Sus scrofa: one gene and its partners. The protein of the gene in region 1 interacts with the protein of each later gene in a biochemical or structural test. Links are inferred from orthologs where the notes say so. Each region holds a gene or a part of one and is shown on either strand. Other genes may lie near its edges.

Region 1 (5,275 bases):
CCCAAACAATTCTTCAAAAAAGGCTTTCCTTAGGCATACATAAAAAGTATTTAATCAGCATCTGTTAGAGCCAGTAGTTAAGACAATTTCATGTTAATTACACCACAGCAGTTATGAAGAGGATTCCGGTATTTTAAAAATTCATGTTTTCAAAGAAGAATGAAACAATGATAGAACTGAATTAGGTGCGATGCAATGTAAATAGCTAATCACCAGAAAACAGAAAAAGTGAAGTAGCTTTTAGTAGTTTTTCAGTGTTTGATTTATGGATCCTTTAGACAATAATAACCTGGAGCAGGGTCTTTTACATTTTATGTTTGGGATCGTACCATCGATCCGTGGATCATCAAAAAAAAGACATTATTGTATATTAATCCCAGTCCTCCTACCTAAATGAGATTTACTTTCCCCAGAGAGCACTCTAGTACACTAAAAAATGAAAAATCTTTCTCACCGAGACTTGTGCCCCAAGAAAAAGAACCCAAAAGCCTACATTTTAACAAAACAAATCTTTGTAGTCATATTCTTAAGTCAACCAAATCACTGGTACATGGAACTTGGGGGGTTGGGGGAGATGGGGAGCTCCAGGGGATCTGCCTGCCTCCTCCTGGCCCAAATGCCTGGGTTCCAAGCCCAGGCACTACCAACTGTTCTGAGTCCCAGACTTTAGACTCTGTGGTGCAAATAGGATGCTTCAAGCATCTGTGGAAGGAGACAACTGCCTGTGCCATGAATAACATGAATGAAAGAGAGTGAAAAAAGGCCAAAATTATTTAATTTCTAATTGTATTCGTACTTAAATCCATGGCTCTTTTTTAAACTGGAGACATTAAACTTTTAATTTGGTAACCACAGCTAACAAAAATTCTTAACTCTGGATCAGTTTTCCAAGCAATCCACAGTAAGCAATCCAAATTACTTTTGGTTAAGATCTAGTTTTAAAGTAATGAAAAACAAGCACCTAGAATAAACTTCCCTCACTTAATTTCATACCACAGTGAATAGTTCTCAAAGTCCTTGGAGCAGAAGCAGCTGCAGCAGCACCTGGGAACTGGTTAGAAGAGCAAAGTATTCCACCCCATCCCAGGCCTCCAAAATCAGAAGGTCCGGGGTGGGGTCCAGCAACGCTGTTTTAACAAGCCCTCCAGGGGAGGCTGAAGTTTGCTTGGGTTTTGAGAACCACTGGTTTAAGGGTTAACAGTCAGAATGCCTAAATTCAAACCTTGGAGTAATGGTTTACTTGCTGGGTAACCAAGAGGTCACTAGGCTTATTCCTCACCTACAGAATGGAGTTACAGCGTTATGACTATCAAATAAGAAAAACATACTTTCTTAAAAGCGATGTCAGGCACATAACTCAATCGTTTGCCATCGCTAACATAAGCAAAGCACTCTGGCGATGGCAGACTGGAAGGGGGAGAAGGACAAAGGCGGAAAAGGCTTAATTAATCCCGACCCCTCCAGGAGTGTGTGACTAGATCAGCACGTGCACACAAGCAGAACCAAACACAATCCAAGAGAAAATAAAGAGGCCCGCCCAAGGGAGGCAAACAAGTTGACTGTAAGAAGCAACGAATTGTGACCCAACATTAAGAGAGGCTTTAAAGAAGTGATTGCATATAAGCGAGAAAGACATCCACAGCCTCAAGAGAAGAAAAACTCATTCCATCCTACAGGTGTGCGCTAAGATTCCCAAGAGGCAGGCGAAACTAAAGTGCAAGGCAGTAGAAATGCAGCGGATGGAAAACAGACAAAGCAAAAATATTCAGTAAGAAATAAAATCGGCCAAGCCAAATCCTAGCGCTGGGCGCGGGGGCGGGCAGAGGACCGACACCACCCGGCCTCCCCAGGGCACCGCAAAGCACACTCTCATTTGCAAACTAACTTCCCCTTTCCTGAACACACCGAGACTACTTTTAGGCACAGTGGCCCATCAAGCCATTGTCTGCAGCAAAGTTGAATGCCTGGAGGTGAAAAGTCTGCCCTGAGCCCCGCATTCAGAAGAGTGAGCACTAACTCCAACTGGACCCAACAACGGAACACTTTCAGATTCAAATTAGCCCAAAACTGTAAAGTTAAAAAGAAAAAAAAAAAAAAAACCTCGACTCTTTAAAAGACAAAAACTGAATAAGCACAAGTGGAGGAGCAGGAGGAAGGGGAAAGAGGGCAGTGTTTTGTCTTCCCCTGAACCCCCGTCTGGGTGCTGGCCAAACCCAGATGGCTTATTTTCATGGCCTGCAGGCTGAGGTTTTCCTTCCGGTCATTGTGTTTATTTCCCCCAAAGAGCAGGCCCCGCGGGGCAGGCGCGCCGGCCGGGCCGGGACAAAGCCCACTCCCGGCTCCACCTGGGCGCGGGCAGGGCAGCGGCGGGGAGGGGCGGCAGCGGGGAGCAGCGGCGTTCCACGGCCCGCCCGCCGGCCGCAGTTACCAGGCAGCGCGGCACCGCCCCCACCGCCCGCCGGCCAATCCGGCGCGTCTGCTGCCCAGGCGCACGAGCCCCGGAGACACCAGGCCGAGCGCGACCCCACGGCTCGGGCCTGGCACCGCGCGCGCACCCGCACCGCCTGAGCCGGCCAATCAGGGGCCGGGCATGCGCAGCCCTCAGGCTCGCTCGCGCGCGGGCCTCACGCGTGAGGACCCCCCCCCAAGCCGAGCCGGCGCGCGCACCCCTCCCCCACGCGCCCAGGCGCGCGCGTGCAACTGTCGTCCCCCGCGACCGCGTCTGCTCCTGCCCCACCCCCAACGCCGACGGGTTGGGGGTGGGGGGGGCCAGTGGCCCCAACACCGGCGCCGGCAATGCCCAGACCCCTGTCGGTGCAGGCCCTGGAGGGGGCGAGTCTCAAATAAAGGCTCTGCTCGCGATGGCAACCAGGGCGGGGAACTGGGGATGAGGCGACAGGGACTCACCCGAGTGCAGCCGCCTCCAGGCAGCGCCGGGGTCAGGGGTGCCGAAGGGAAGCGAGCGTGGGCCGCGCGCAAACTGCGACCGCAGCGGAGCAGCCTCGGGCTGAGACGGGCTAGCGAGCGGGCAGGAGGTGAGAGGGCGAGGGGCCCAAGCGTCTCGGTCGAGCTCCTGTCACCGCCGCATGGCCGCCCGGGCAGGGCCTCGCTCAGCTCCTAGATCCGCTCACAGGGGACTGAGGGAGAGGCCGGGGTAACCGCGGCAGACGGGCGGCCACGGTTAGAGAGCGCGTGCGGGGAAGCGGGGGGGCGATCGGTGGCCCCTTTTCTCTGCTCTCCCAGCTCCTCTCTCACCCTCCTCCTCCTCTTTTTTTTTTTTTTTTTTTTTTTTTGTTCCTCGAAGGCGCGCTGCGCGTGCGCACCCGCAGTGCCGCCCAGCGGGAGTTGTAGTCCCTGATTCGTCCCCACCAACGCGACGGCGGGAGCGCTGGACTACGAATCCCAGGAAGCCTCGCGCCGGCAAGCCCGGAGCCGGAGGACGCGGCGAGCGCGGCGCCCGGCCCTCTCGGGCAAGGACTGTCAATGGAGGCGCGGGTGGTGGGAGCGAGAACATGGCTGCACCTGGGGCCTGCGCGGCCGCCCGAGTGGGGGAGGGGAGCTGGGGCGCAGGGGTGAAAATCCAGGCCGCGGGGAGCTTCATCCTGTTTGCTGACGCGCTCCAGCCGGCCTCAGCCACCGTTCAAGGCTCGCACTCACTCTTGCCCCCGAGATTCCCTGCAAATTGAGAGGTCGGAACACTGCAAAGGCCGGGGCTCCCCAGGCCGGCATGCCTCCTCCCAGGCTCAGCCAAGGGACTTCTCCGCCCTGCACCACCCTCCAGGACACAAAGAACTGTTAGTTTTGAAAGCTTGCCTCAAAAGGGGCTATTGCCCCAACTTTGGACGGGCGAGGGAAGAGCACCCTTCTGTTTTTGTTTACCCCACCCTTAGGCTTTGCTCACTTTTTCTTAACATTTAGAAGGGAAGTTAAGGAGGAAAAGCCAAGGAGGGGAGCAGAAAACGTGATTTGCAGCCCGTTGTGTTCTGTCAACCGCTAAGCCGTCCCCTCCCCCCGGTAATTTTTTTGCATCTCAACTTTGATTAGCTCGTGAATTTCGAAAATGGTGAGACGCTAGTGTACGCTCAAGTTAGAAGTTTTTAAAACTCGGGCCCAGAGATTTTAGATGTTTCTTTAAAGCACAAAATCGAGTGATTTTGCGATGTTTTTTTCCCACCGGCGATCTGGGCCACGCCGGCCATCATCCCCCTCCCCCTCCTCCTCGGTAGGTGGCGACCACGGCGCTTTCTCCAGCCTTTGTCGCTCGCGAGAAAACTTTCCGAGCTGCAAGTCTTTTGATGTAGGTCCAAAACCTTTCCTTTGAACTTGGGTTCGCGGATTGGCGTTCCCCGTCTTCTTTCTTCCGTAGACCGCACCCTTTCCTCATCTAGAAGTTCCACGGTGGGTTTCTTTAAAATAGATGGAGAATTTAAAGATCTCTCCGAAGCAATCTGATGACAGAAGACTCGCGTACGTTTTTTCCGATTTCCCCTGCAATCTTCTACGGTCATGTCGTTTCTTCCCTAATTTGATTATGACTCTCCTTTGTCAAGTCTCCACAGCGTTAATTCAGTTTTTCATAAGAGCAGTTTTCTTTTTGCACTCATATTTCATTATCATTTCGGAATATTCGATTAAATTCTGTCTTCCCATTACCAAGCACAACTGACATATTAGGAACAAACGTTAACTCTTGAGAAGCCTACAACTTAGCTGGTGAGATCAGCCATCCTACCAGCTGCAAACATTCAGGTGCTGTGAACATTAGTGAGTATGTTTTATGGAGGAACTGGAGTCTTGACCCGTTTCTTGGGAAGACTGGGGAGGTTGGGATGCACTGGCCGTGAAGGAGAAACAGAATTGCCTTGGAAGGATACTGGAAAGTGAAGGCAAAAGTTCACTTAGGGTTACCCTGGTCGTCATCAAAACCTTAATTTAGGAGATAGTCCCTTCCTTTTTTATGAATTCGGCAGGTCGGTATGAAATTCCGCTGCTGCTTCATGAACAACTGCAGCCTCCAAGTTTGAAGCACTTCCTAAAATGTACCACATCCTAAAGCTGTTCCTAAAACTTTAGCTGGCTTGGAACTGCTTCCAGACAGAAAGCTGGCCCTTTGGGGACAATGAACAGGGCGTGGAGCAGTGAATGGTGTAGGAACACAGCATGTGGAGGCCAAGCTTTTTTCTCCGCATAAGGTTGTTTGACAGGTGTAACCCTCAAATTCTTGTCTTACAATCATAAAATATGCATTTTCCGTTTTCCCTGAGGCCTGGCTCAC
Region 2 (5,206 bases), on another chromosome or scaffold:
GGCCCCTTAGCTGCCTGGAGCTCCCAGCTGAAGGCACAGAAGGGTCTGGATCCCGGAGTCGGCTTAGTCTGCCCCCTAAAGAACCTCAGCTCCCTGACCCCCTTGCGCCTCCCCAGCGCCGATCATATGCATTTGAAACACAGGCTAACTCTGGGAAAGGGAAGGGACTGTGATTAGGACCAGACCACAGGGCAAAGAGGACAGTAGTTGTCTTGAAACTCCGTGGTTTCTGAAGCTGTCTCTTCTGCAGCCTGAGTAGCTGTAGTGCCCAACCCTATAGGTTTTGGCCCTCCAGTTTCTCTTTGACTGTGAGAGGCACTATCTCTGTTTACTTGAGCTTGTCTCAGACACAAAGCACTTATCCCTTAGGAGATTCCAGAAAGAGTCACCAAGATCCTGTTCCCAGAGAGTGGGGTCATTGGCCAAAGGGAACAAAGAGTAGGTAGAAAAACTTACAGGTTTCTCAAAGTGAAGAATGACGGGGGAACTCCAGCCAAGTTCCTGCCATCCTCTGAGGCAATGAACTTCTCTTCATGGAAGTCCAGGGTAAAGGCAGAGGTCAGGGCCATATCGGAGCTTATTATACACAAACACTTCTAGAGTTACCCATCCTTGTTCTACTTTGGGGCTGTTAAACGCCTCCTGCTCCTCAGCTTAGGAGGAACATGTCCAAGAAACTTTTTGAACCCTGTAGTATTTGTTGGAGGGACAGGCTCCCTTCCTAGCTCCCCTACTTTCTGCCTCCCTGCATCTCAAGACAGAGAGGTCTTGTACAGATCTCTCTGCCCTCTTCTTTTCCCTTCGGAATAACTTCCTATTTCAGGGAAGGGGAATGATGTCACTTACACCCTGGGACTACTTGTCTGGATAGGCTGGGGGCCACGAATCCCAAGGGGCAATGTCTCATAATAAAAGTTGTATTTTTACACGTAAATAGTGTGGAGTTTCATTACTCTTATTAAAGTCTTGAGTGACAGGTATCATATTTTCAAATATTTGACCATTCGTTGTCTTTTCTGCTTTTATTGTTTGGGTGCTCTTCCTCAGTTGTTGCCATAGAGACCTGCGGCTGGAAACTAGAGCTGGGTTCATGGTGGTCAGGAAATGCGGAAGAGAAACTTATATTTGCATAATGCTCATTATGTGCCAGTAAAGGCTAGGTATTCTATGTGCACATAGTCTATGCTCCTGATTTTTCTGAATCCACTTAATAATTCTAAAAGGTTGGTACAGGTAAATCCATTTCACAGATGAGGAAACTAAATTAAGTCAAAAGGTTTGCCAAAGGTTTCAGAGCCAAGAAGTGGCAGAGTTAGGTCTGAGACCCGAGTTTGTCTGGCTCCAGGCTCTGAACTCGTCTCATTACCGCCCCCGCAACTTGAGGGTAGGTCTTGACTGAAAAAGAATGGGAATCAAGATGCCTCTCCCAGAAACTGTGAGCCTCTCAAAAACTGGAAGCCCTGGAGGGTCTTTAGGTGCCTTCTAACCCTAATACAAATAAGTATATCCAGATCTATTTATACCAGCTATGTCCTAATGTCTAATAAGCAACCACAAACAGGTATACTGATCCAAGATGGCCTCCCAAAGAGCCCTTGTTAAAGATGGCGCCTCCATCCGATGTCCCTCGCTTGATCCAAGCTGGCCTCTCTCACGCCCTTCTCCTGGAGCTAAAAAGGCCCTGTCCAGCAGAAAAATAGTAGCACCAAGTTAGTCGTCTTTCTTCCGTCCTTGCTAGAGCGACTAGGACTTCAGTGTCATTCTCCAAGGATCCCCGGTCGTGGCTTCTTCCCCACCCCAGCAACACCTCCAACACGCTCGCATCCTTCAGCCCCCGGCAAGATGGAGCGAACGGAAGTGGGGCAGCACAGAGGCTGTGTAGGCTGGGCGGACGGGAGGAGACACTTCCGCCCCTCACCAACATGGCTGTGAGCCGGTAGTGCGCATGATCAGCTGTCCAAGGAGCTACCCGAGTCGAGAGAGGGAGAACTCGGTCCAGGGAAATAGGAGCCTGCGGCGGCCTTGGCTGGTGAGTGCAGGACCCGACGAGAGTCTGGAGACTGGGTGGGCAGGCGGGGGAGAGCAGCTTCGATTTTATTTCCGTTTTTTAGGTCCAGAAACTCCTGGGGCGGAAGCTTTTGTTTGGAGGGAGGGGGCCGTGCCTGATCTTTATCTCCTACCCCCTTTTGTGGGCCGAACTCACTCCCCGCCCCCGGGCGCGCTCTCCTTCGATGGCAGCCGCGGGCCGCGGGGCCAAGACCACGGGATCCGCTGAACCCCCGGCCTCAATTCCTGCCTCTGCGGAGCAGCGGGGTCTCGGGATGTGACGGGCCGGGCTGGACGGGTCACGGCGCGGGCTCCTGGGCTCGCGCCCGACCGGCGCTCAGCTCTTAAGCGCCTACTGCTTGATGGGCCTGCAGGGAGACGCCGCATTCTCAGGCAAGGTCTAGGCGCCAGCCTTCTTTGGGGACTTGATTATTTTCCCTTTGTGTCCAGACTTAGCCAGGGCTCTCCCCCCCCCCCCTTTGCCTGAGCGTGCACGCTACGACATCCTATCCCACTTTCCTGTCGCATACCCCTAACGCTCAGGAAATGCTTCTGGATGCCCTACTAAGATTTGAATAAGTATCTTGACCCCGTTGCTGGGCGTCCTCAGAGGCTGCCCCGGCTGACAGCTGTGGGCCATAGAGACGCCTCCTCTGCCCTGCCCTCTTGTTTCATTGCTTCCTTCTGCTGTCAGCGCAGCAAGCTTCAGAGGGGCACTTCCTCCGTACGTTCGAGGATGGAGAGGTAGGTGGTCCCGAAATACTGGTGCTACTTCCCCCTTAGGGACCGGATCTTAATTGCAGCGCTACTTGCTCCGGACAGTTTCATTTTCAGTTCCTTTTTTTTTCTTTTTTGTGAACACTTTGGATATGGGCTTTCCATGACTTAACCGCTGAAGATAAAGGTTTGGGAGACCCTTACAGGTAGAGAACTTAAAAAAATCTTACCCCTTTCCTGTCGGGATTACTTATTGCTTTGTACTATATTGCTATTTCTTTCTAGAGGCATCTGTCTTCTCAGCCCTTTGTTTTTCCTGCCGCCGCCACCCTCACTTACCCCCACTGGGTGTCAGGGTCTTTTTTTTTTTTTTTTTTTTTTTTCTTTTGGCCTAGCAGGGGGTGGGGGCGGGCATGTGGAAGTTCCCAGGACGGGAGTTGAACCCGCACCGCAGCAGCAGCCCAGGCCACTGCAGTGACAACTGCTGCTGGATCCTTACCGCTGTGCCGCAAGAGAACTTCAGTGTCAGGGTTGTAAGGCAGGCACCTCTTAGATGGATTCTTCCTCCATTATCTCTTCTTCCAAACCCTGAACCTGGAGTTTCCCTCTTCTTGCTGAGGCTTGGTTGATTTGGAGTTGTCATGGCAACATTTTAGCAACTGTGTTGTTCTACAGGAAGGCTTAGTGAATAAAATAGAAGGGGCTTGAAGAGGATACACTTGGGCTTTAGGGTCTTTAATGAATGAGGTAAATCTGGACTCCCAAAACAAGAGCCCTGTCAGTAGAATGATGCCCAAGGGCCAAATCTGGTCTTTTATGGTTCTGGAGGTTCTCCAGTGGGTTCAGGTTTCCCTTTCTTAGATTTGAGGACAGGAATTTCTTGATGTACAATATATGCTTGAGAAGTGGGAAGAAGCATCAACATCCAAGACCTTGTGTTTTTTGATAGCTGTGGTCTAAACATGGTCCTTCTAATCTCCATGTCATGGCAGATCATGATAGCTTTAATAATAATCCATCCAGAAATACGTTATTTCTTAGTCTTTCAGTATAATTATCTCTTCTCCATCAGGAGTTGGAGTGATAATTGGAGGGGCGAGAAACACTATTCATATAATTGCTCTTTCAGTCACTGTAGACAGTCTTCAGCATCAGAATGGAGAAAGCTGATTGTCCCCTGCAGATGATTGGTTTATGTTCCTGGATGTGTCTTCATGGAGCCTAGTTCTAGAAAGAGGAGACTTCCAGTTTCTTAGACTCACTAGACTTCCTGATTTCTACCAGGACTTAGCACTCAGGCCTGTGAGGCAGGAGATACGAAGACTTCCAAAGAAGGACCAGTTCCTCGGATGTGCCCCCTCACAGAGAGATGAAGGGGTGAGTGAAGAAGAGGTAGGGTCTGGTTTGGGAGGCCTGGGAGAATGCAAAATGGCTAAGAGCACTGATTCTGGAGTCAGGCAGACCTAGATTTAGGTCCCAGCTCCATCACCTAGCTATGTGATCTGGTTTCCTGTTTATAAAATGCAGGCAGTGCTACCTACCACACAGTGCTGTTCTTAGTACTAAGTAAGATATTGCCTGTTAAGTGCTTAGCTCAGCACTAAATAAATACTAGCTCTTGTTATTCTGACCTAACCGAGCATCTGCTGGGAGTGCCAGTGAGTTTGGGAGCCATATGTTATTGGGCCAGTGAGCTTTTCATTCACTTTTTCCCATATTTTTTTGTCCCCTCACAAACAGGCAGCAGAAAACAGCTGAAACGGAAGAGGGGACAGTGCAGATTCAGGAAGGTAAGTGGGAGAAACAGAACTGAGCTAAGACCAAGAGCCCACTGGGGCCTCTCCCCCACCCCATGGGCCCATCACTTGTGTAACCTTCTTCTAAATGACACGTAGGTGGAACAGAGAGGAAAAGGCAGTAACTCACAGACTTTTCCTTTTAATTCAGGTGCGGTGGCAACTGGGGAGGACCCAACCAGTGTGGCAATTGCCAGCATCCAGTCAGCTGCCACTTTCCCTGACCCCAACGTCAAGTACGTCTTCCGAACTGAAAATGGGGGCCAGGTAAGGGAGGGGGCCAGGTGGCTGCAGGTGTTATCTGGGATTGGGAATGGGGGAGGTAACTGAACCTGTCACATGGGGAGACCTGGATTGGAGGATGAGGTGAAGATGTGGACTGTCTGGAAGGTGGGGGGTGGAGTAGAGATTGGTGTGGGGTAGGGGTTATGCTGAAACCTCTATATGGGGAAAGGCAAGGGAATGGCTAACTGTATGTTTCTGAAGGATTCTTGTTTGGGGACCCTGTCCCTGGCACTTACTCTCTTGTTCTCCCTTCCCCTTCTTCCCTTTTCCTCCTTGCCTCTAGGTGATGTACAGGGTGATCCAGGTGTCTGAGGGGCAGCTGGATGGCCAGACTGAGGGGACTGGCGCCATCAGTGGCTACC
Region 3 (5,250 bases), on another chromosome or scaffold:
CTGAGGGGAGAAGGAAAAGAGGGGGTGAGTGGAGGCAAAGGCCAGGGCAAGAGACAGTCAGGGTGGGGCACGGGGCCAGCCCACACCCACCTTCATTTTGGATGATGCAGCGAACAATCCTCTCCACTGTGTCCTCATTCATGTCATCGTCCTCAGCTGAAGGATGAAGGCGGTTGGCAGGGAAGTGACAAATGAGTCAGCTTTGGGGGTATATTACCTGGTGGCTTCTGTGGCTTGTTACTCAAGACCTACCCCTTTGCCAATGTGCCATCAGGCTGTAGGTTAGCATTTCAAGGGCCAGGGCAGAAAAGATGGAGAAATCAATGCGAATCCAAGACTACCATCGTGGGCTGGTCCCACCCCGCGCTCTGCTTCTCTAGCCTTGCTTTTAGGGCCGTGGACTCAAGAAAATGTTACTAGGCCTCTTGAAAGTTTGGGTGGGATGTGGCCTGGGTTAAGAGGTGTGGGGAGAAGGGTGAGAGAGAAAAGGGACTGAGCCAGGGTCTAGGCTGTTCACTCACGGGGCTGCAACTGGGTGTCGTCAGGCTCCGAGCCCCTCGAGGTGCGGCAGCGGTAGCCCTTCTTCTTGAGCACGTGGCAGATCATGAAGCCTACGAGGCCCATGAGAAAGAAGACCAGCACAAGCAGGAAGAGCATGTACAGCCCATGTTGGGGCGGCTCCAGGTCAGGCTGTGGTTCCGACATGAGGCCCTGGGGGGCGAGCGCGGGCCAGGGCGCCTCCTGGGGCTAGGGGGCTGCAGCTAGGGGTTGGGGGGAGGGATAGGAATGCCATCTTCAGGATCCGTGACAGCCAAGCTTCTGCGGTCTGGCCCCACCCTCTGCCCAACCAGGGAGCTGTCCGGGCCAGGGGTGCTGGTCCAGGCCAGGGAGGGGTGCCAGATGGAGGCTGCGCAAACCCTCTTCCACTATCCTGGTCCCGCTTTCCCGACGCCCAGAGCGTTCCCCTTTCCATCTTGTCCTGCGCTTCCGTCCCTCCCAAGGACACTGCAGAGCGAGATGGGACGGAATTCTCAGGCGGCCGGCGCAGGGATCCCTGCCTGAGTCAGCGTCCACACCTCTGCGCCGGCCTGAGCCAGGCCTCCGCAGCTCACTCCCCTGACTGTACTATCGCACACACACCCCCTCCCGCCTTTCGGTTCTCCCCATCCTGACCACCTGGCCCACCCGGTACCGGTGATTTGGTTCTGGCTCCGGCTCCGGCTCGGGTTCCGGCTCCAGGGGCGTCCTAGTCCGGCTCGGGGCCCCCGACGCCCTCCCGGCGCTCATCCCTTGCTTCCTTCCCCTCCCCCCTTCGCCGCTTCAAGGGCTCCGGGCTGCGGCTGCAGATACCGGTGCCGCGGCAGGCGGGGGGAGGGAAGGATGGAGAGGGATGCGGGCTGGTCGGGACCGGCGACAGGCTCCGGACTATACCAGCGCTGGGAAGGGAATGAGATGGGGGGCGCCGCCGCAGCAGCCTTGGGTTCCCAAGCCTTCGACCGTCGCCCGCCCGGGACCAGGGGGCGGAGCACAGGTGTGCGGGGCGGAGAGCGAGAGCCTTGCGCGCTTGTGAGCGCAAGTGTGGTGCGCGCGTGACTGCGCTGCCCCCCTTCTCCTCCGGGGGGGTGTGCGGCGCCGAGTCTGGGTCCGGGTGAAGAGGACAGTCAGTCAAGCGAGGGTGCTCTCCACTGGTCAACCGGGCACGCCTGGCTTGGCTCCTGCCCTCGGATGCCCCGGCCGGCTTGGGTAGCCAAGAATCTTCCCAGCGGGCCGCGGGAAGCTGGCTTTCCGCATGGGAGAGGGACAGCACGGCCGGTTATCAGGAGCCTCCTAGAGAGGTGACACGGCTTGCACCCGGTTTGGGACAGGTGGCTGGACAGAATGGTTCGGCTTCCCGAGGATTTGACCCCCGCCCGGAAGAAAATGGCCTTCGCATCCTAGGACCAATGCGCGGTCCTCCGGCCAAGTCCAGACACTCAACACCCCATAACCTAGAACCGCCAAGCAGAGAGGGCGGAACTCCGCAGGGGGCGTGGCCTGGGCGTGGCCTACGGGAGGCGGGCTTGGGCCTCCGGGTTCCGCAGAGACTGGCTGCGTGCTTACGCAGCACGCACGACCGGGGGTGGGGCTGGCGGCCAGGCTGGCGGCGGAGGCGCGGGGCCTGGTCCCGCTGGCACCATGGCCAAGACTGTGGCCTATTTCTACGACCCCGACGTGGGCAACTTCCACTACGGTGAGGGAACAAGGTTGTATGCGAGGGGTTTCGGAACGCGGAGGTTTCCAGGGCGGGGCTACAGCTCCAGGGATGGGAACTGACCCACTCTCTTTTCCCACCCCCCAGGGGCTGGGCACCCTATGAAGCCCCATCGCTTGGCCTTGACCCATAGTCTGGTCCTGCACTACGGTCTTTATAAGAAGATGATCGTGAGTCTCGCGGCTTCTGCTGGGGATGGAGGGTGGGGGCGAGCTGCGGCCCTAGGGATAGGTAGGCTGGCTGCCCTGAACGCCCCAAGAGCGACCCACCTCCAGCGTGGGGAGGGCGGGATAGAAGGAACCAGGAGGACCCCCGTATGCAGAGTATTGGTGGGTGCATCCATGAGCTTAATGGGAGTTCCTTTTTCACTTTAGGTCGGCCAGCCTTTGACCTCAAGTAGACAGGTCATGGCCTAGAGTTGGGGTGGAGTGGGGCTGGTTTGAATACAGAAAGTGTTTCCCTCGCCAGCATCTTAGAGCAGTTTTGTGGCCTCAGCAAAGGGAAAGGGGCTGGATCACTGTATCTGAATATGAGATTTACCCCCACTGGCACCCCTTTTCCTCTGCCACACCTCTCTCCACCTCCAAGGGGCTAGAGGACTCTGCAGCCTGTGTGTAAGTGTGTATGTGTGTGGGGGGGACCGTAGGAGATGTCCTGGGTATTCTCTTTTCAACCTGGAATCCCCCCCCCCCAGTTCTACTAATCACTACCCATCCCTCCATCGCCAGGATATGCACATGCTCTCTGTCCCCAGCTTGGAAGTTATAGATGTGATATGTGATTATAACATGTCGCCTTGGCTCTTATGCCATTGCAAGGGGAATTAGTCAACAGTATGAATGGGTGCCCACCAGGCTGAGGCACTGACAAGTGATTTGGCCGTAGAGGAGGCCGAGGTGATGTTGGTGCGTGAATCTCAGACTCACTTGAAACTGTTTGCCAGTTTGTGCCCTTTTCTGGGAGAGAAAAACATTTTGTTTGGTTTCTAAAGAAGCGTGTGAGTCCCTCAAAAGATGGTAAATCTCTGGCTTAGCACCTGGGCATCTGTTTTTAGTTAGAGGGTTGTTATATGTTCCATATTATTTGACTCCAAAATTAAGAACTCAGAGGAGAGAGAGGACAGAATCAGAGCTCTGGGGGGATGACTATGAAGAGAATCAGGAGTAAGAGATCCAGGGATCAGGGCAGGTTGAACGGGGTTACGGTTCGAGAAGGTAGGAAAGGCTGGGCTGGAGGTTGGAGGGAAAAGGCGAGCCGCATGGTCTTTAGGGGGCTTGATCATTATAAACGACCGGGCTAATCAGTCTTTCTTCCTCATCGAACTTTGTCTCATAGAATAACAAGGATTCAGGGGCAAGGGGACTGCTGTGTGTGGTTTTGGATGGTCCCCAGGGCTGGGTTCGGGGTGGGGGTCTCAGCCCAACCAGTGGGACTGACCCTGCCCGGGTTCTCCTTGTGTTTCCATCCCGAGGTCTTCAAGCCGTACCAGGCCTCCCAGCATGACATGTGCCGCTTCCACTCTGAGGACTACATTGACTTCCTGCAGAGAGTCAGTCCCACCAACATGCAAGGCTTCACCAAGAGCCTGAATGCCTTCAACGTGGGCGATGACTGGTGAGGGGGGACTGGGACCTTTGGTGCCAGGCATTTCAGCGAGAATACTCGAGTGGGGCCTTGTGGCTGCAGTGGGAAGATGTGAACGCGCCAGGGGAGAGGATACTTGTCAGTGAATTGTCGTTTACTCATTTGTTTATTCAACAAATATTTATTGGTCATTCGCCCTGGGCCAGGCCCGGTGCTAAGTGCTGGGGATGCAGTGGTAAACAGCAACGGCAACACAGTTTCAGTATTGCATTTGTGCCGAGTCCTCCGAAGGAGAGGTACCCGACAGGCTATGAGGGTTTAAACACGGGAGAACCATCTAGCCTGGGCGTGGGCTGGAGGCTTCCTAGAAAAAGTCATAAAGGTTGAGCTGAGATCGGAAGGAAGCAGGAGGTAATTAAGTGAACGGTTGCTGGGAGGATGGAGGGTAAGGGGAGGAAGGTCGAGGGCAGTCGGGACAATGTGCGAAGGGCCTGGGGTATGACAGAGTGTGACTCATTTGAGGAACAGAAAAAAAGCCACCCGCAAAATCCGAAGAGCGATCTGAATTGAGGCTGAAGAGAGAGGCAGGGCCTGTAACAAATAAACGGCCTTGGAGTTCCTGCTGTGGTCCAGTGGGGTAAAGATCCAGCGTTGCTGCAGCAGTGGCACAGGTTGCAGCTGTGGCTTGGATTTGATCCCTGGCCCAGGAACTTCCACATGCTGCAGGTGCAGCCAAAGTAAATAAATAAATAAATGGCCCGACTGTGACTTGGGGTTTTTATGTCTAGAGTAGAGGGAGGTCATCAAAGTGCTTTAAGAAGCAGGAGCATGATTGGACAGGACCTTCTGTCATATGGTTTACGTTGGGCTTAGATCATACGAAGTAGACTCAGAGGTGGGCCCTGTGGGAAGAGAGCGGATAACGAAGAGAAGTCTTCCTCCTTGCTTATGTTCTCGCCTTCATCCACGAAAATACACTGACCACAATAGCTACCACTGACTCAGTCCATTTTTAAACTTATTAGGGAAAACATTGCTGAAAGTAGAAGGTACAGTGTCCCCCCACATACCCGTCACCCAGCCGTGACACTCACACCAAGTGCTAATCTTACGTCATCTATATCCTCTCACCTTAGATTCTTTTGAAGCAGATCCCAGATGTTACAGCCTTTTATCTATAAGTACACTCTTTTTCTTTCCTTTTGTTTTGAGGGCTGCTCCCTCGGCACATAGAGGTTCCCAGGCTGGGGGGTCAAATCGGAGCTACAGCTGCCGACCTATTACCACAACCACAGCAACGCAGGATCCAAGACGCATCTGCGACCTACACCACCGCTCATGGCAACACGGGATCCTTAACCCACTGAGCGAGGCCAGGGATCGAACCTGCAACCTCATGGTTACTAGTTGGGTTG

The links.
Region 2: the proteins of GTF2I (region 1) and USF1 form a complex in vitro, tested with the Homo sapiens proteins (2 studies listed by BioGRID). The link is inferred for Sus scrofa from reciprocal best matches to the Homo sapiens genes GTF2I and USF1.
Region 3: the proteins of GTF2I (region 1) and HDAC3 form a complex in vitro, tested with the Homo sapiens proteins (2 studies listed by BioGRID). The link is inferred for Sus scrofa from reciprocal best matches to the Homo sapiens genes GTF2I and HDAC3.

Annotation. Positions count from the first base shown.
Region 1 is NC_010445.4:11,704,103-11,709,377, reverse strand, and holds the start of GTF2I (general transcription factor II-I), read right to left. Parts: upstream 3,289-5,275; 5' UTR 2,908-3,288; exon of another isoform or gene 2,498-2,907; intron 1-2,497. UniProt on the Homo sapiens protein: Interacts with the basal transcription machinery by coordinating the formation of a multiprotein complex at the C-FOS promoter, and linking specific signal responsive activator complexes.
Region 2 is NC_010446.5:89,393,257-89,398,462, forward strand, and holds the start of USF1 (upstream stimulatory factor 1), read left to right. Parts: upstream 1-2,043; 5' UTR 2,044-2,439; intron 2,440-2,507; exon of another isoform or gene 2,508-2,790; intron 2,791-2,807; exon of another isoform or gene 2,808-2,969; intron 2,970-4,047; 5' UTR 4,048-4,132; coding exon 4,133-4,140; exon of another isoform or gene 4,141-4,155; intron 4,156-4,503; coding exon 4,504-4,553; intron 4,554-4,710; coding exon 4,711-4,826; intron 4,827-5,127; coding exon 5,128-5,206. Other genes in the region: ARHGAP30 (rho GTPase-activating protein 30), read left to right, coding at 1-173.
Region 3 is NC_010444.4:143,284,259-143,289,508, reverse strand, and holds the start of HDAC3 (histone deacetylase 3), read left to right. Parts: upstream 1-2,087; 5' UTR 2,088-2,175; coding exon 2,176-2,230; intron 2,231-2,338; coding exon 2,339-2,421; intron 2,422-3,722; coding exon 3,723-3,865; intron 3,866-5,250. Other genes in the region: RELL2 (RELT-like protein 2), read right to left, coding at 91-156, 522-705. UniProt on the Homo sapiens protein: Histone deacetylase that catalyzes the deacetylation of lysine residues on the N-terminal part of the core histones (H2A, H2B, H3 and H4), and some other non-histone substrates.